Linked DNA regions of Tribolium castaneum. The protein of the gene in region 3 interacts with the protein of the main gene of each other region in a pairwise test. Links are inferred from orthologs where the notes say so. Each region holds a gene or a part of one and is shown on either strand. Other genes may lie near its edges.

Evidence for each region.
Region 1: the proteins of nuclear protein 1 (region 3) and Ran interact in a two-hybrid assay, tested with the Homo sapiens proteins (2 studies listed by BioGRID and IntAct). The link is inferred for Tribolium castaneum from reciprocal best matches to the Homo sapiens genes NUPR1 and RAN.
Region 2: the proteins of nuclear protein 1 (region 3) and RNA-binding protein cabeza interact in a two-hybrid assay, tested with the Homo sapiens proteins (2 studies listed by BioGRID and IntAct). The link is inferred for Tribolium castaneum from reciprocal best matches to the Homo sapiens genes NUPR1 and FUS.

Annotation. Positions count from the first base shown.
Region 1 is NC_087395.1:25,442,903-25,451,674, reverse strand, and holds the start of Ran (GTP-binding nuclear protein Ran), read right to left. Parts: upstream 5,463-8,772; 5' UTR 5,331-5,462; intron 1-5,330. Other genes in the region: adenylate kinase 9, read left to right, coding at 8,201-8,772. UniProt on the Homo sapiens protein: GTPase involved in nucleocytoplasmic transport, participating both to the import and the export from the nucleus of proteins and RNAs. Switches between a cytoplasmic GDP- and a nuclear GTP-bound state by nucleotide exchange and GTP hydrolysis.
Region 2 is NC_087395.1:19,586,291-19,595,172, forward strand, and holds RNA-binding protein cabeza, read right to left. Parts: upstream 5,463-8,882; 5' UTR 5,346-5,462; coding exon 5,336-5,345; intron 5,150-5,335; coding exon 4,976-5,149; intron 4,967-4,975; exon of another isoform or gene 4,888-4,966; intron 4,776-4,887; coding exon 4,671-4,775; intron 4,621-4,670; coding exon 4,563-4,620; intron 4,052-4,562; coding exon 4,023-4,051; intron 2,312-4,022; coding exon 2,193-2,311; intron 1,994-2,192; coding exon 1,723-1,993; intron 1,519-1,722; coding exon 1,170-1,518; intron 1,120-1,169; coding exon 1,074-1,119; 3' UTR 874-1,073; downstream 1-873. Other genes in the region: MED19 (mediator of RNA polymerase II transcription subunit 19), read right to left, coding at 5,866-6,141, 6,193-6,449, 6,502-6,682; Ctl1 (choline transporter-like 1), read left to right, coding at 6,985-7,092, 7,140-7,522, 7,573-7,739, 7,788-8,017. UniProt on the Homo sapiens protein: DNA/RNA-binding protein that plays a role in various cellular processes such as transcription regulation, RNA splicing, RNA transport, DNA repair and damage response. Binds to ssRNA containing the consensus sequence 5'-AGGUAA-3'.
Region 3 is NC_087399.1:2,801,017-2,803,420, forward strand, and holds nuclear protein 1, read right to left. Parts: upstream 978-2,404; 5' UTR 901-977; coding exon 703-900; 3' UTR 501-702; downstream 1-500. UniProt on the Homo sapiens protein: Transcription regulator that converts stress signals into a program of gene expression that empowers cells with resistance to the stress induced by a change in their microenvironment.

The DNA of each region.
Region 1 (8,772 bases), on a different chromosome or scaffold from region 3:
TTATTTTCGACATGTAATTTCAGTTCCGATTCCCATAAATGTTTCAAAACTAATTACGAGCAATTACACTAATTAAGGAATGTACATAATATTTATCCAAACCACACAGGTCTCGGTTGGTTGACTTTTTTTACATAAATATAGTGTTTATTATTCATTTAGAAAATTAACTTAAATGAACCGTAAACTTTGTCGGCTTGATGTCACAAAACATTATATTCTTCCGAGTATGTGAAAATTTCATGTAGTATACTCGGGCCCATTGAATAAAATATGAGCTGGATCGCGTGTTTCGAGATGACACATAGCGACATCTTGACCCTCGATATTCCTCAAAAAGGAATAAATCCAAATAAAGGGAGGGTCAGCCGATATCATAAATAAAATAGCCGTAAGTTATTTCTCTCCGAATTCTGTTGGCGAATAATTCAAAACTTTCCTGAAAGATTTATACACAAACTATACCATCCTAAAAAACTTATTTTTCCCGGTACAAACTCGTAATTTCCATATCATGACAAAAGCCCGTTTGAATTAAGTTGTAATAGTACGTTTAGAAGACACGATTCGTTAATTAAGCGACTAATTGTCTAAATAAATTACTATTAACGCTCACACTGAAAATATTTATACCGACGACCGAGGCGGGAGGGAATTATTATGATGGGCGCTTATTAAGGGAATAAGGTAATTAAGCGAAGGGGAAATCGTTCCGTTTCGTATTTTTGCATTGCAAATGCGTAACTGCGAGGAATTTAAGAGAATACTTGAAAGTGTAATTATCTGCCATTACGGCAACATCACGCGAACTTTTTGGATCAAATCCGAGCGATTAATGAGCGAATTTCAGCTGCAATGGCGCCGACACTTTCCTGTAATTACCGATTTGCCATTTTTGCCGCCCCGAAACGAAAAAATACCACCAAAATGCAAGAAACTCTAGGTAAAAAATCGCAGCTAAATGCTAATAATCCATTATTAAGCTCAAAAATAAAGTAAATGAGGCACGTATTAGTTGCGTACGTGTATGGGCGTCCACTCAAATGCGAAATAATCCGCCATCAATTCGGTACGCGCTTCGCTAATTAAAATTTCCTTTTATGTGCTGACAATTAGATTTTTCTGCTCCACAGATACGTTAATAGCATATAAATAATCGTGTTACAACCTGCACATTATCCGTAATTATATGGGAAGAATGCTTTGATCAGTGAATTAACTTAATTAAAACCTTTTTGTAATTAACGATTGTGTTTCATATTGGACATCAGTCGTGGATTTTTTTTTCGGTGCGAGTGAGAGAACGAGCAGGGGATATTAGTTTCAAAGGAGCCGTCAAATGTCGGTCAAAGTTGCCGCATTGGCGCCTCGAAATCTCATTTTTTAAAGTGTAACTAACTAAGCAGACGAAGGTTCAGACCTCCAAGGGAGTTTTGTTGACACATGTCCACCTAAACGGCCGTTCTGACACGAGGATTATTGTAATCGGCCGTAAAAGGCGGGCTTGCGATAAAATCGCATTCTTTCAACACCTGTTGACTAAATTTTCAAATTAATTAAATCAACTGTGATTAACATATCACTGATTAAAGCATCCAAGAAAGAACTCTTACAGAGAAGTGATGTTATTACTTAATTCGTTATAGGCAATGTGACCCTTTTAAACCACAAATACTGAAAAAAGTTGAGATGTACTGGCACTTTAACTAACTTATAGAAAATCTGTTTCTCCAAATTATACTTAAAAGGATTCACAAAGAAATTTCACAGAAAAACTGGGTCTTTAGTTCAAAAGGCAAGAATAAAGCCATTTCCAAAATACTTCTCTAATTTTTCCAGCTATTATTAAGAAAAATAAATCCAAATAAAAAGTGCTTTTCTGCCTAAAAAATGCACTAGCCGTTCGAAATCTTAATTTCGAAAAAGTGTTTACTAGACGTTGAAAAGAGGGAAAAATAATACTATTTTTGACATAATTTTTTGATTTTTCATAGAAAAATTCTCGAAATAATTGCGTTGAGATCTCAAAAACGTGCAAAACATTGAAAAAAAAACAATAAACGTGATTTTTCAGCTCGAAAACATGCCCAAATGCTCGAAAAAAGCAAGAATTAATAAAACTCTAATTCCTTTATCGAGAAGGTTAAAAAAATGTTTGAGTAAATTACACTTATATAAAACAAAAAAATAACAACATTTTTGACAAATTTTTCCGATATTTCGAGTTATTGTTAAGAATCTTAACGAAATAATTGCGTTGCTGTCTCAAAAAAATGCAAAACGCTCGAAAAAAAGCTGAGGAAGTTGTGACATTTCAACATGATTTAGTAAAAGTCTCTCGAAAATAAATTCCTAGCAAACGTTTAAAAAATTATATTTGACTTAAGTGCAGCCATAATTTAATGTAGAATATTATCTATTACCTATAGCTCTCTCATCGAGAATATTTTTGAGTAAATTACACTCATAATCTTACATAAATACCAGCGAAATCTTACAGAAAAATTATGGCTTTAACTTAAAACAGTGCTTCATTTTCCACAAAATTTTCTGATATTTCGAGTTATTATTGAGAATCTTATCGAAATATTTGCGGTGCGCTCTGAAAAACATGCAAAAACCCTCAAAAAAAGCTGAGAAAATTGATTTCTCACCTTGATTTAGAAGAATCTACTAAAAAATTTCTATAAATTTTAACTTAAAAATGTGCTCAAATGCCTAAAGAAGACAATTATTTATGAAAATCTGGTTCTGTCACCTTAAATACCATGAACTAAGCTTACAATTTTAATAACTTCTAATTTGGAAAACTTGCTGAAATTAATGAGGCAATTAAATTATTAGGTGAGCTCGTCTTAAAAAATTCCGAAATATCAAAAAGTTCTGATCGTTCTCACACCAAACGCATGTACCTATAAATAATGTTACTTTTAATTAAATTAAAGTCAAAATTGCAATAAAAATTTTATTATTTTTACATTAGCAAAATTAAAAAAACTGAGTTTTTAGTTCATAAAAAGCAAAAAGTAATCGTTTTCCATCTAATTTTCTAATTTTTCGGTTCGGTTTAGCAAAACCTTGTGGAAAAAGGGCTTCAGGGCTCGAAAAGAGCAACAGTTCATAAAATTTTAGTACCTTCTGTTGTTTTATGACTTTACCAATCAACAAGCCTCTTCTGCTTCGAGTCCTTTCGTTTCTCAAATTGTGATTACAAAAAAAAAATCGGTTTAAAGCGAGATTTGAAGATTAATATGTTTTCAAAAAAGATCTCTCGAAAGTATTTAGTCCCATCTTTGTGAGCACACATTTTCGTACAATTGAATAAGATTTTTTTCCATACTGTTGTCGCTCTCGTGGGGGTCTGTTTGGGGCAAACAAGGGCGCGTGTCCACCCCTGTCGCAATGAAACGAGTAGGCCGTCCATCTCCGCTAATACATTTACCGATATAAAATAACAAGAAGCCGTCACATTGTGACGCGACCATGTGTTAGAGGAGGTGACGTCCTCTCCGGCGGCGGGTCTCGTTCCGCCCCCCACAGCTGCATCGCGCCCCGTGCCACACAGTGCACCGGAAGCACCCTCGGAAGTTGCTTCGTTCAAACAAAAAAAAATCGCAATTTTTCCGAAAAGTTTTATAAAATCAGAGCCGTCTTATTGTTCACGTGGTGGTCGAGATGTTGGCCATCTTGGCGCTGGCGGCCTGATTATAGTGATAAAAGAGCGAGCCGGGTCTTGATTTGGCCCCCAAAGGCAGAAACTTTTATTTCTTTGACAATGTATATCATGAGGCAGCGACTCATTACTTTTATGGCGAATTAGGCTTGGCAGCGGCCCAAGGGCCCCCGTCCAATGAACATGTTTTGCAAAGAATGGGCTTTTTTGAAATGCTGGCTCGTAAAATGACAGAATAACGTTTGCAGTTTCCTGTCGGCGAGGCTAAGAGTAACGCAATACTTTATTATATCGACGACGACACAGAGGACCAAAAGCTACGACATTCCGGATGTGGCGAATGCTATTGTAGGTGAAGCTTTTGTGCACTTCACTTGCAACAATTGCGGTTTCCTGAATAACCTGTGAGCTTTCCGATCGCTTTGATGTCTTCATACGGTAATTGTGCGATTCGATGCTCATTCTATGCTCCGGGACCCAAATGGAAATCAACTGCTCCGGAATACGTAATTCTATACTATTTCTAAGACGCATTTACTCGCAAACAAACAAATTTTCGCAATTTTCTACTTGGCGCAAACACACAAGGTGGGCAATAGCAAAATCAACAATTCAGTGGAACGCGGTCATAACGAACACCCAAAGAACAATTTTCAAGTTAAAGGAGTTCCAAAGTTTGGAATAGATACAGGAAATAAAGTATAAATAGACTTATTAAAAAATATTACATATTATGATAATAAGGCAAATAAGTCCGATAAGTCCGAGTTTAGAGTTTGGTCGAAAATGACCAGAAATTTACCTTTCCTAGGCGTTTATTCAGCAATAACTCAATTATAAATAACAGAATTATGTCAAAAATGACGAGTTCTGAAAGTTTAAGCACGTTTTTAGAGCAAAAATCAAGGTTTTCTTCATGTTTTTCTTAAACTAAAGTGAAAAAATCACCAAATTTGGTCGGAAATCAGCAAAATTTTACCTTTTCTAAGCGTTTATTCAGCAAAAACTCAATAATTGCGCAAAATTTCTTAAAAAGTAAACCAATAAATCACAGAATTATGTAAAAAATGACATTATTTTTACAAGTTCTGAAAATTTAAACACATTTTTAGACCAAAAATCAAAATTTCCTTTCGTTTTTTATCAAAGTGGAACGAAAAAATCACCAGATTTGGTCGAAAATGACCAAGATTTTATCTTTCCTAAGCGTTTATTCAGCAAAAACTTCATTATTGTGCAAAATTTCTCAATAAATCAAAGACTTATGTCAAAAATGACATTATTTTTGCAAGTTCTGAGAATTTTAACATGTTTTTAGACCAAAAATCAAGGTTTTCTTCCTGTTTTTATTAAAGTGGAACGAAAAAATCACCAGATTTGGTCGAAAATGGCCAAGATTTTACCTTTCCTATGCGTTAATTCAGCAACAACTCAATCAAGTGTGTTATGAATGGGTTCGTTATAAACGGACGCCACTGTATTTTTGCCTAAATATTGGACGTTAAAAGTGATGTTTGTTTGTTCGTTAAAACCGAACCAGTTTGTTACTACAATAGGTATAGGACTTTAAAACGGGACTTATAATTTTGTTTGTTATATCCGAGCGTCTGTTAAAAGCCGGGTTCATTATAACTAATTTTTTTTGAGTTTCACTCACCAAAGCACACACAGCGAAGGACCAGAGACTCAGTAAACACGAAATTTTGGCACAAAACACACTTTTTCACCTCAAATTTGCATTTTTGTCCCACTTTTCACACAAACAAATAATTGCAAATGTCAAGTTGTCAAATTTGCATTTGGGGATTTTTTATTTAAAACAAAAAACGATCGAACGTCGATCAGGAACAAATTTAATTAATTCATTAATAAAAAATATATTTTGTCTTAAGAGTTCTTCGTAGGTCTTACCCAACTTTGTCCAAATATTTTTTTTTACAATTCCGTAGAGATTTAATGAGAAAATAATTAATTAGTTGAGGGGTTGAAAGTGTCCTTGGGAATTTTGCATTTAAACAATTGAGTAACACCTGCTTGGGGGGGAGCTACAGATATTTTATAATCAGGTTTTTTTTTAATTAGTAATCAATAATTAGTGAATGATTCGTTTGGGAAAATGTGCTAACAAATCAAAATTTTATTTTTTTGCCCACCTTTTAGCCGGGCGTCGAACCTAAAAAAAGATCGCTTATCTGTCAAAATATAGGTTACCGGTGATTGTGTAGTGTTGTGAGTTTTTCTGATTCTTTAACAAAAACACTTTTAGACCTTATCGAGGTGAGTAGTGCGAGTGTATGAATGGATCGGTGTAAAAAAAATTCCGATTAATGGCTTTGTCTTGCGGTAAAAAACGACAGAATGGCTTTGAGGTTATGCAACTTTCACGTGTTTTTTGGGCCGATCGGGTTCATGTCTCGCTGTTGTTTTGCTTATTTGGGGATTAGATGACAAAAAAGTTTGTTTTGCGTAATGTTTAGTCGCGTTTTTGCGGGAATTATGTTTTTGTGGGTTAAATCGTGTGTGGGTCCTTGTCGCCACCTGGCGGTGGTTTGCGTGATGACGGGTCGCGGCGTTTTCGAATTTGGTTGAAATTTGAGACGGTTCTTGTTTTAGTAAAAAATTGATTAAATCAGCGAAATTTCGAAATTATAACGGCGGATTTAAGGGCCTGGGGCGCTGTGTGGCAAATTACATTAATATGAAAGTAGGAATTGATGGTAAATTCGAAATTGTAGCCTATGGAACGGTGAGCTTATTATTATGTAGTGCTTTTTTAAAAATGCTGAACGCTCTGCAAAGTCCCTAAGTTACAATTTCGGTATCAGATTGAAAATTGCTATTTTGTGCAAATTAAGTTGCAGTCGGTGATGTGTGTTATTATTTGAACGCATAACCGACGATTTGCATATCGGAAAATGGACGAAAAAGGCGCAGAATGCCAACTCGTGACCTTATCTAAAAGGTGGTTTAATTCGGTCTTGTTGCTCGTGTTGCAGATCATGCCACCTAAAAAGGTACAAGAGCCGGAGAGAAAGCCGCTCATAGGGCGGGTGGGCACCAACTTGAGGGTCGGTATCGTCGGGATACCCAATGTCGGCAAGTCCACCTTCTTCAATGTGCTCACCAAGAGCTCGGCCGCCGCCGAAAACTTCCCCTTCTGCACCATCGACCCCAATGAAAATAAGTATCTTCACCAATTTTTCCCAATCCGAAAATTTTTTTGTTGGCAAAATTTTATTGCGATTTAAAAAGAATTGTTTAGTCTGAGAGCAAAGCGGCTCATTCTACGTATTATACCGGGTTTTTACGAGATTTAAAATTTTGAATTTTTTTGCTTAAAATTTTAATGGTCAACGCAAATACTTTCATAAAAAAAAAATTAAACTCACTCTAGCATAGTTTTATGGACTTTTATATATCTTAACAATCCACTAGAGTTGTTAAAAGTTCAAAAAAAGTTCATATGTTCGATTTTTTTATGTTTAATTTTTCCAATTTTTGTCGCGATTTTGGTTGATTTCGAGTACCCGGAACATTTATCGAGCAATAACTCCGGAACTATGAGAGATAACTCTATGAAGTGTACTATCGTTGGAAAGCTCTTTATATTATCCATCTTTTTTAAAAAAGATCATTGTACTCCGACTAATAGTTTTCGAGAAAATTGCAAATAAAAGCAAAAATTGGTCGAATTAAAAAAAAAATATAACTTAAAAACTATTGAGAATTTGGCAATTTTCTCAATGCCAATCGATTCTCCAGATCATTTTGCATTAGTATGGATTAAAACAGTTACACTTTTTCAAGTAGTTTAGTCGTAATTGAGAAAATAAAAAAAATAAAAAAAAATTAACACCCCTTCCCACAAAATGGCTAATTTTAAAAGTGTCTCAAAATCAAATAAAATCGATCCTATCTTATAGATTTTGATGTGCTCTTTTCGATCTAAAAAAGCGTTTTCTCCTAGCTCTTTTAGTTTGGCTGTAATCGGCGTTTGAAAATTGAAAATTTTTTTGCGAGTCCTATGCCATTTTGTAGAGTTTTTTATTCCGGTTATCCTCCATTTTTCCGTTTCTCGATATCTTTAATAGTTTCGCCGTAATTGGCGATTGAAAATTGAAAAAAAGTGAAAATGGAAACCTTTTTTTGCGTTTTTCTCGGAAACTGTAAGACTTAGAGCAACGAACAAAAAACCATCTGATAGCGCTTAATTTTCTCTATTTTTTCGATTAAACCCGGAGCCGCTCCGGGCAACGGTTCCGGCTACAGAGGCGATCAAAGTTTTTCACTAAAAAAATTCATAAAAAAAAACTAAAAGTCGTAGAGCAATGCGGTTTGTTCTATTGAATTCTGCGGCTCATTTTACATATTATATCAGTTTTTTTACTTCGAAAAATCAAAAATTAATTTATTAAAATAACTTGGGTTAACTATTTATACCCGTCACTGCCAAAGTGACAAAGTGACAATATTTTGCTTGACATTTTTAAACATTTTGGGTGTTTGCGCTTTTAAACTAAACTAAAAATGTCGCACGATTCCGATTACGTGCACAAACGCAACCACCTCACCAACATCACACCTGACCAAACAGTAGTCATCAAAAAAAGTCTTTTTCGCTTCCTTCCTGGCGTCAAATACGAAGAAGACCAAAAAATTTCTCCCCCACCAGCTGGGGAATGGTACCCTTACGTCAATTCTTACTACCCTTTCACCGAAGATGTGGATGCTTACGCTCGTGTAAGTCATTTACTCGAGTCCAAACGTTCGATGGACTCTCTCGATAAAGAACTAACTTATCGAGAAATGAACGAGTACTCGGACCGCAAAATCTACCGACAATTTTTGCGCAAAAAACCCGTTTCGTTCCTGGTTTTGGGCAAGCCTGGCATGGGCGAGGAGGAAATCGGGCGGCGTTTGGCCGAGTATTGGAAATGCGTTTACATCGACCCTTTGACCCTCCTTGAGGAGGAGATCGCGCTTGAGACACGCGCCGGACAATGCATCGAGTTTAACTTGCGATGTGGGCGAGCTGTCGGTATTGATATTTTGTTGCGACTTTTGACTAAAAAAGTCCAAACTGCGGCGGTTTTGCATCG
Region 2 (8,882 bases), on a different chromosome or scaffold from region 3:
CGATTAAACTTCAGATAAATTTTATCTCTCAGTTAGTTGCTACGGTAGTGCATATCTGATTGGCGTTGCTATGTTTTAACCGAGGTTTAAATTTATTTCTTCGTTAAATATGTTTCCAGAAAATGGACCAAATGTGAACTTTGGAATAAACTACAGGATGCTCAAAAATTGGCACACCAACTCAGTGGTACGTTGTCGAAAAGCTTGTGTACATTACAGGAAAAATCTTAAAAAAATTCCTAGTCATATTTTAAAAAATCGAGCTACCAACTTATTTTCTTAGCTTTTTCAGTTCTCATTATTTTTTAATGTTTTATCTTTCACACTAAATAATCGCTCCCTAACAATACGATGAATGATTACTTTTAAATTTACTATCAGACTAAGTTTCTTGAATATAAAATTTCTCAAAAAAATCACAATTTGTTGATGTGCCAACACTGGAAATTATTTCCTAGGAAACCGTTCCAAAAATACTTATTTTATTGTTGATCAAAATCTATTGCGATCACGACTGTTAGACAGCGTATTGGCCGTTTCAAAATTATAAAAACGCCAACGTCGTATTTTCTCTCAAAATTAGCTGTTATAAATTATTCATGCATTTCAAAAAAATAATAGCTAATGTTAATTTATACCTTCAATGAGAGATCTAATCCCCAATAACCATTTTACAATGTTGTGAATCTTATTTAAAGAAATAATTCGGTAAAATGCGACGTTGGCGTTTTTATAATCTTGAAACAGTTAATCGCCAGATACCATTTATTAAAAATTCGTTATTGTGAAGTTTTGAAGAAAAAAGTTGTTTATGAGTTATTTTTTGACTTTGCAGGAAAATGGAATTAGGAAAGGTCATACTATAACAAAAAGTAATTTGTACTTAAAAATGTATTATACATAAAATAATTATTCACTAAACATGCCATACTCGTGACCACTCAACTTCTCGTGTTGTGTAATTACTAGAAAACACAAAGCTTTAAATCTTATAGATCACCTTATAAAAACTGAAATGAATATGATACTGTAATGGAAATAAAACACTCATGAATCTATTTGGAAAAAATCTTCTAATACGGCCTGGAACGTCCTCCATCGCGACCGCCGCCACGATCCCTAAACATCAAAATTAAAATCTTTCCTACACCAAATTTTGTCACAAATACCTTCCGCCTCCTCCTCGACCGCCGCCGAAACCGCCTCGGCCTCCTCTTCCACCGCCAAATCCGCGACCTCCTCGATCACCACCGCGGAAACCGCCGCCACCACCTCTTCTATCTCTTCCACGGTCACGGTCTCTACCGCCTCCGCCGCCGCCTCCTCTGCGATCTTCACCCCCGGAACCGGCACCTTCCGGCTTATCTTCACTGCATCTATTGCACTGATTCCTCCAAGCAAAATTTGTGTTGCCACAGTCTGGGTTTGGACATTTCCAGTCTCCTTCGCGGCTTTCGCGGTCTCGGCCACCGCCACCACCGCCGCCGCCGCTACCGCCTCCACCACCACCGCCGAAACCTATACCAAACAATTATTGTTTGCCAATCAAATAAAAAAAATGTTTCCCTAGACAGGATACATCAGAAGCAACCAAACTGCTACTGTGTGTTTAATGGGGAATTAATCTGCCCCTTAAAATAAAAACAGATTTTGGCCTATTTTAGACAAATCTGGGTCGGAAGGGGTATTAATTTCTTTTAAAAAAATTGCAAACTCACGTACCTCCATCTCGGCCTCTTGGGCCTCCTCCAAAACCGCCCCCGCGGCCGCCACCTCTTCCACCTCCGCGGCCGCCACCGCCACTCCAATTATCCTTTTTCGTGGCCAACTGTACCCTTATTTGAGTACCACCGAATTCTTTCCCGTCGAACCAAGAAATTGCTGATTGAGCTGCATTGGAATCGTCATACGTAACAGTGGCTTCACCCTTTGAAAGTCCGGTCTGTTTATCTTTATACAACCAAATCTTCCGTTTCTGGGTTTTCTTGTCCATCTAATCGGAACGAAATAATCATTTCAAATTTGTCAAAAATGGAATTCTTTGTAGCAGATTGAATACACTTGTTTGCAAATATTTCTTGCAATCAAGGAATAGCATCTGTCATAATATTGCGACACATCAAAATTGAACTTGGTCAAGAAAGTGAATCCAAGCACAGAGTGCAGGTCGCTGAGTTTAGTCAAATACTTACTTTAATCACGCCAATCGAACCAAAATGTTGAGCAATTTCGTCTTCGGTGAGATTTGGATTCATTCCAGACACAAAAATCGTGTCGACTTGAACCACCAAGTTACTGCCGCCGCCATTATCTGGAAATTAATACGAAAATGATGTCAAGGGTGAAAAATAATAATTTTACTAAAATTAATTGTTGCGCCAACTAACTCAGTTCTCAAAAACTGTTTCACATCTTATGGTGTGTAAAAACAATACTATATACCTTTTCTCTTACTCTCTCACTCTGAATAAACCTTAAACTTGACCATAACGCACCTTGAAATAAATACCAATTTTTTAATTTAAGACCATTGCGTTTTTGATGCCATTTTACCACGCAATGAAGAAAAAAACCTTCTACAAAAAATAAAGTATGCACTTAGCGCTCAAACGGACAGCATTAAAAGTACTCCTCAATCGAAATTTGTCAAATACGTATCACAATATACCCAATAGAACCTTTTTATTTAATACCAATGAATATAAAAGGAAAAACTTTATTATCCTTTTACCTTTAATATATATATATTAAAATCATAGTACCTCATAAAACCATTCGTAACTTTTTGAAATCCCGATGTATAACAGGGTGATTAAAAAATGAAGGATTAACTCTTACAGGGTGATAAAAGACGTTCAGTTAAGCATAATAATCAATTTTTTTTGCAACCGTATTAATTCTTAGTATTTCTTTTTCCTTAGCAACCGTATTAATTCTTGCGCATTTCTTTCCCATATTGTTGAATTCATTCTTAAATTTGGTAAATTATAAATGTTTTATACGTATTATAGGTAGAGAATTTTTTCAATAATTATCTAATTTTATAAAATCTCTCGAGAGATTTAAGATTACTTCATCTTAACCCAAAGATATAACTTTGTAAAAAGCTATATCTAGTGAAGAAAAAAAGGATCACAATTTTTTTTGTCATAGGAACTTTTAGCTTAGTTGGATGTATTCATCACCATCTAAACGATATATAGTCGGAGACTTTTGAATCACCCTGTACACGAGAAAAATACTATTATGTATTCTTTTACCTTTACTCTATCAATAAAAAACAATGTACTCAATAAGACCTTTCTTTTTCAAACGCCAATGAAAATAGAAGGAGATACTAAATATAAATCTTAAAACCACCTATAAAACTAATCCAAAAACTAGATTTAATCAAATGGACCAAAGATTTTCTTTGAGAACATCTAAAGGTTACTGACAAAACATTAATTACTCAAATTTTTAAAATTTGCGAAAAAGAAAATAATAAAGTATCAATGTTAACAACCATATCTAATAAAAAAATAATAATAATAATAATAATAAGAAATATTAGAATCGCAACTGACGTTTAAAATTCTTTATAAAAACTTGACCAATCGAAACCCAAAGATTTTCTAATAAACATTTTCTGTAATGATTTTGTAAGTTACTCCAATGCTTTATATTTTTGTATAAATGTACAAAAAATTGCAAATACGAAAGAAGTTACCTAATCAGCAAAGAGGAAACAATGAAATGTTGCAACACTTTTCGAAGATAAACAACTTGTCAATTATAGCAACGCACCCTAACATTCGCAGGTGAATAGTGGAAGAGCTGTTTACGTATGATTATTTAGTATTCACATTATAATCGCGGGTCTAAGTTTTGAAACAAGTCCAATAATGGAACACCAAATAATCAAAATGTGTGGGAAATTATAAAACGTAAATAAAAATAATGCAGCTCTTCCAAAAACCAATAAAAATACCAATTAAAAAGTGTACAAAAATGCACTGGTCACAGTGACTCAGTGCTTTTACCTTTGTTATAACCACCCCTGTTGCCGCCTCTAAAACAGAAGTAAAACATCAGTAGTTGTCGAGAGAATGGAGGGGGGTGAAAAACACACACTTCACCAACCATTTTGTTGGCATACACATTGTCTTCATCCACGAAGATCACCTATTTCTAGTTGTTGTCACGTCTATGTACGATGTTTACCTTATTTTTAAACTCTCAAAGATTTTATTATACACCTCAATAACATAACAACCATTTAATTGTAGTAACAACCAACTCAACCTTTAAGGACCGTACCAAAAATAAATACCTCAGGAAAAACCACCTGTTATAATTTAACTCAAGTTTTAACGGCCATTTTCGGCCACCAACAACAAACACAGACGTGTGTATTACAACAAAATACTTACACTATTTAAACTCTGTAAGCAAACTGATATTAATACAGTTTCAACGATTCTTTGACAATAAATACCCATTCATTCATTTTTTATCATTTTACTACCTCCCATCCAAAGTGTAATACCAACAAAGTAAAAGAACAAAAACCGATAACTTACCCATAAGAATCACGTCGATCTAGAGGCCTTTTGTCAAAATCGCCACGGTCTCGGCCTCCTAAACCAAAAATAATTAATTACAAACAACACACAAAACTATGAATGTACCTCCATAGCCGCCACCACCGCCGCCGCCATAACCGCCACTATTGCCGTAGCCACCGCCTCCGCCAGAGTTGTAACCACCTCCTTGGTTATAACCGCCGCCGCCACCTGGAACAATTGACGGTAGTATAGCAAAAAAACAAAACAATTCTTTCAAAAGTAATGTATAGGCGAATGTCTACCCCTTCTCATATCAAGATAAGAAGGGACTATCAATTCCCTAATTATTCTGCGACATAGTAGGAGGTTTCAAGTTTATTAAACAAACTCAAACCATGCCTATGTCGCCCCACATCACTGTTTCTTACCTTGACCGCCGCCATAGCCGCCGCCAGACGAGCGTCCTTGATTCCAAGATCCGCCGCCGCCGCCGGCACCTCCACCTCCCCCGCCCGGGGGGTTGAAACCGCCGGTCGGCGGTGCCCCGTACGTATTGGGATACGCAGTACTGGGGGGCGGTTGGGAATAGTCGGCGTACGATCCTGCAAAAGTGGTTTGTACATAAATTACCCAAATAACGAAAAATCGATAATAATGAAATTAGAGCAAGCCGACGTGAAAAATGCGAACTACCACAACTTCGTAATGTGTTAAGTAGTCGAAATTTGAATACACGAGGTGATTTCGTACAGGGATGAGCGAGATTTTTTAAAAATCGGGATACTTACGATCGCCCATCTTCTACCGTTGGGATAATCGAACAAACAGGAGGAAAATGGATGCGAGGGAAAAGACGCTACGGATTGGGGGCTTGTGATTGGTCGGCGCTAACAGCCCTGCCAACCCCACCAAAAAAACACACTAAATAAAGCACGCCAAAATATTAAATTTTCCACAAACAACCTTGTTTTATATTCTCAGTTCCACTTGAATACCGTCGAGGTACTTAAAAACAACATTTGTGATGGATATAAATTGTAATAATAAGTTTGTATGAAACACAGCTGGAGAACTTGTTGTGGCAGCACTGAAAACCTTATCAGAGTTCAGGGTCGGCCTAAGGGCATTTGTAGGCCCTCAAATTTATTATTTTTTGATAATCATGAATTTAATTAATCTAGTGGTGCTAGCTTTGCTAAAACGACCAGTAAAAACTTAATAAAAATAACAGTCTGTTTATTTTCAAAAATAATAAACAATAAATAATAATAGATCTTAAACCTAGGGTAAGTTGGAATTATTCACAATCCAAAGATCTTCACGAATTTGAGTGTTGGCTGGGCGTTAGGCCCCCACTGTGTTCAGGACTGTGTTTCTGCTTTTTTCTCTTCTTTTCCTTTTTCCTCTTCTTCCGTTCTTTATCTTCGTCGTGTCGTTTCTGTTTTTTATGCTTCTTCTCGTGTGTATCACTTCCAGCATCGGTAATGGTAGTCTCCTGACTTGGAAGCCCCCCATCTTTGTGTTTGTGTTTTTTGTGTTTATTTTTATGCTTTTTCATAGGCGCCGCATTTGCGTAGCGGTATTGTTCAGGGAGCTAAAATCCAATACTCAACAAAACACATTAAAGGGAAATTATCAAGCTTACCGCCCCAGGGTGTAGTCTAAACCCATCCAGTTGGATGCTAGTCAATGGTAACAACTCCTTGCCCCCAATTGGAGGCTTCTCAATCACTGATCTTAGCGAACTGTTATCATGCTGTCCAGGAGAGTCAATAACGCCAGGCAAAGTTGGCAAAAACGAAGATAACTGTTCCTTGAGTTTTTTCCCACTGAATTTGCTGTAAGAGTGCTCAAGGCCATAATAGGCCATCAAATTCGTCGCTCCTGTTAGTTCCGACTCTCCTACAACCACCGTCCGCGTGATTTAAACGACTTCAAGCCTTGTCTTGCTTACCTGGAGGCTCTTTCATCAAATAGAAAGGTCCACTAGGGACAATTGAAGGGTTCTTTCCTAACAAAATTGTCGTTTTTAATGTTCCTGACGAATCCTGACGTGAAACGACAGGGGAACGAGCCCCTCTAGGCGAAGATTTGGGCGAATATTGTTCCACTTTACGAAACTGATCGCCCATCATCTTACAACTTCATCGTTTTGCAACAACGATGCAGCTGGAAATGGGAAATGTCACTTCAGCATCACGTACCAACACAAAATCGTCAAACAAACAAACAAATCAATTGTTACCCTGGTAATTTTCACGGTCTGGCGTTTGGAACCCTGCTAGTTTGGTAACTTTAGGTTTAGTTTGGTTGGCGAGATTGTGCAATTGTTACTGTTGCTAAGATACCGCGTCGAAGCCGCCGCCCCCAAAACATTGCTGGTTTTCTCAGTGAAAACATGCGTCTTTTGTGAAAAAAGTGGTTTGAGTTAACGAAAATGGGTTGTTGCGAGTCGAAAAAGGAGCCCGAGCGGGAAGAACCCGCTCAGAGAGGGTGCACCGACGTGTTTTGGTTGTGTTTGTACATTGCGTTTTGGTTACTAATGGTAAATAACCTTGATTGGTGTGTAATTTGCCTCATTAATATTTTTAGGTTTTAATTGCGGCGTTCTCCTTTGTCTACGGCAATCCCATCAGAATTATAAACGGCTATGACTCATTTGGGAACATTTGCGGGACAAAAAATAACAGAAAAATGTCCAATTTGGAAGTATCAGGACTGGACACTTCAGACAAACAATTTTTGCTCTTCTACGATATTAAAGAGCTGAAACAGTCGCTGAAGATATGCGTAAAACAGTGTCCCACGGAGACGTTAAAAAAAGTTGAAGATATCCAGAAATATTACCAAAAAACTGGCGTCAGTTTGTGTAGATATGATTTTAATTATGACGATTTTAAGAACAAGAGTATTGCGAATAAGGAGATTCTGAGTAGCTATTTAGGGCCGTGTCCGGCACTTCCTATTTACGAAAGGTATTTCCCCTAAACTTGTGTTCTATAAAGATAAAACTGGTTTTCTAAAGCACCCCAGTTCTCAACCGTTGCGTTCCTAAATCATTCCAAGATGCAGGCGAAGCAATTTTGAGCAATTTTTACGAAGCTTTGAACAGTTGGGACACACTTGAGCAAATTTTGGGCGACATATACAGCACCTGGAAGGAAATCCTTTATTTAACGTTTTTATCACTATGTGAGCCTTTGGATAGTCACAGGAAAATTTGTACAGTTTGATTTTCAGTTTTTTCGCTGTTAACTATCTCAATACTGCATCTACTGGCCCATTTAGTGTCGTACATAATCATGATTTTGTTCACAATTGCGAGCATCTTGGGCACAGCGTTTTTGTGGTACACTTATTTTGATATTAAGTATGATTTGGATAAGACGAACAAACACATGCTTTTGATGGAGTCAATTCGCAACGAAACGGCCTTTTTGTGGTACTCAATCATCGCCACCGTTATCACAGTAAGAGAAATAATTAAAACTTATCGGGATGTCGTTCATATAGTGAACGAAATAGCCTGTAAAATAACTCAAAATAGTCCGTAAAGTAGTGGAATACATACTTTTCTAACGAAATCGAGAATCAGCCTGCAAACCGACCCATATAGTTTAAAATGTACCTTCTTTATTTTCATTTTCTAACACTTAATTTTTTTCATTGATTACGATACAAGGTGAATTTGAACGTAATACCATTGGGAGCTTATTCTATAGAATTAAGTTTTTTGTAATAGAAAGTGAAGTTAACAAGGATTGTTCCTAATGTGTATAATGTCATTTGCAAAATGTTTTAAAATTTACATGATTTGAGGAATTATCTTGACACTGAAATATATTTTTTAACACTTATAACATAACGCTGCTCTACATAATACACTTTATGGACTATCTTGTCTTGTCTGTACTGACTACTCATATTTATAACTACGGGGATTTCAGTGCCGAAAAATACTATTTTACGGACTGTTGTGGGTTACGTGTGCTATGTAAGTTTTGGGATTTTTTTACTTTAGGTACATTTATGCAAATTAAATCTACATCTAAAATAATGGTACAGTTTTTGTGTAACGTATTGTGTTTTTTGGACGGTGTTTATGTTAACTTTTCTTATCTTTTGTTATATATTCTGCGTCTTAGTTGTGCTGCTTTTCAAGCTTCCCATTCATATATAATAATAATAATTCATATAATATTGTGTTCAAAAGCCCACATAAAATTTTTGTTATTGAGACTTTCAATAACAACTCTCGGTATTAACTGCTTTAACCCTGGTAGAAGTCGTTATACAAAAAAGTTTGGCAACATCTTTAAGAAACCCTTGTACTTA
Region 3 (2,404 bases):
AAAATTCCAAAATGCCATGGATTCAATTAGTTTTTGCTCAAGTGGCCTGTGACTGAAATTAAGTTGGCAACGATGAATAATGTAAGTTACAGAAGTTAATTTGGCAAAATGACTTCTATTGTCTGATGGTTTTGTTAATGAAAAAAAAATCTTTTAAACGCCTACTATTAAATCTCAAGTTTTTATTCATTTTGTTTTAAAACTGAAATAGCTAGTGATTTCTTCTTTTATTTTTAACATAAATACTGTCGGATTTCGAATTTTACAAATAATTATTTCATCATCATTATACAGTGGAATTTACTTCTAGAACAGCTCAAAAATCTCTTCTAGATTAAAGTTAAAAAAAAAACAAAAAACGGATACGTCCATGGCCTGCTATAATTAGAAACCAAACAAAGCGCAATCGTTGACCCTGCGCACACCTCTACCGCCCCGCGCCAACCTTCTGGAAACTTTCCAATGGTTGTCTACCAACGCAAATAAAATAAAACACTACATCAGGTGTACAGTATTTATTGAAAAAATACAATACTCGAAAAACTAACAATAATTTAATATAATCATCGCGTCAACACCATTTCTATCAACACAACAATATCATGAAAGCAATGTCTTCTACCGAGGTGTCAAACAAAATCACAAAATCCTCAAAACTCGCCACTGAACGTCTTTGGAAAATCACAGATTGGGGATTCGAGATCAGTGCTTCGCCCTTCTATTCTGTTCCGTGTTCATCATCTTGGTGACGATTTTTCTGGAATGTCCGCTGGGGTCGAAGTGGTTCGTGTGCTCGCTGACCTCCTTCTTGCTCCTTTGCTTGCCACTGTGGCCGCTGTAGATGTGCTTGTCGTACAAGAAGTTGTAATGTTCATATTCGTCGAAATGAGCTTCGGACATTTTGGTTTTTGCACGAGATTTTTTCACTGTCAAACGTCAATTCAAACAACTGAAGCGGGCCACAGCCGCCTGGGTTTTATACCCGTGGGGACGCACGCGCACTGCTGCCAACTCGAGCGACAAAGTCGCTATTTCCGCCGACTTGACCATAAATTAGTAATTTTTAATTAATTAAAATTAATCATATGCGCATCTGAAGACAGAACAATGGTTTTTTCACTCTTGGAACAGTCAACTCGACTCGGTGCCGCCTGTCCTTGATTTCGCATTTATTTATTTCATTGTTTATTTATTTACTTTCTAAATTAGCGTGGGCGTCTTAGGGTTTTTCTGTTGTATTTTATTGCCAACCAATACACCACGTGAACTTGATGTGGCCATGATATTTTTGCTGACGGTTATAATATAAATTTTTTACTGATAGTCTTGTTTTTACTGCGTCTAAATTATTTTTTCGTAATTCTGTGCAATATTGTTATTTTTTGTTATCATTACCTTCACAAAATAAGGTCACGGGGAAAAAAGTATCGAACGAGATGAAAAAATAATTGATTGCAGTGACCATGTTTTTAACATCAACTTGCACATTTCTGCTTATCTTCTTTCGATAAGGATCTATTTTTACACGTCAAATAGTAATTTTTCTTTCAAGAAATGTATATTTACATGTCTAGCCGCCACTTCCTTAATTATAAGCAGGAGGCAAAAATAAATTTTGGTTTACTTGGAAAAAATAAAAGGAAACGTTCTGGATTATTCTAGAAAAGAATGAACAGCAATTATTAGATTCGAGATTATCATTTGAAAGGTGTTCTAGAACTGGAATAACGGTTTGAATTTCTATAGATTTTTTTATCTGTTTCAAAACCAAAGATGTTTTTGATGTAAGTAATGATGATTGTGTAAGTAAATGCTAAATTAAAAAGCAATTTACGAAGGAATTGATGCAGTTTAAGTAAAAGGAGCTTAAAGTAAAAAAAATATAACGGGTTGTCTAGTTCTCTCGATTTAATTTTATTAATACGAGAAAAGAAAAAAATTAATTGTTAGAAACTATACCGGTGAAAACCTAGCACATTACTACTATTTTTGAGTGTTTTTTTAAAACTTATGTAAAAACTTAAAATCAAAAGTTTTCGCTATTGTTTCTTGAGTAATGAATTTTGTTTAATATGCTCGTATTTTAAAGCAAAAACAGATTACATTTTCCATGTTTCTAGCGTGTTTATTGCCGTTTTACGATGAAAAAATTTAATGCAAACAAGACCTTACGTTGCAAAATTCGAGCATTTTACGCGCTTGTGTTTTATTTATTTCTGTACAAATCCCTACTTTACGTTTTTCTGTAATTTTAGCCGTTTCCCCCGATGTCACAATAAACCTGATTTTGCAGAAATGAAATAATAATAATTTATTTTTGTGATTTTCTTTAAAAACTCTAATTGGGTCAAACAAAACCTGTTCGATTATTTTTGTTTCTGACATATGTCCACATATTAACGAT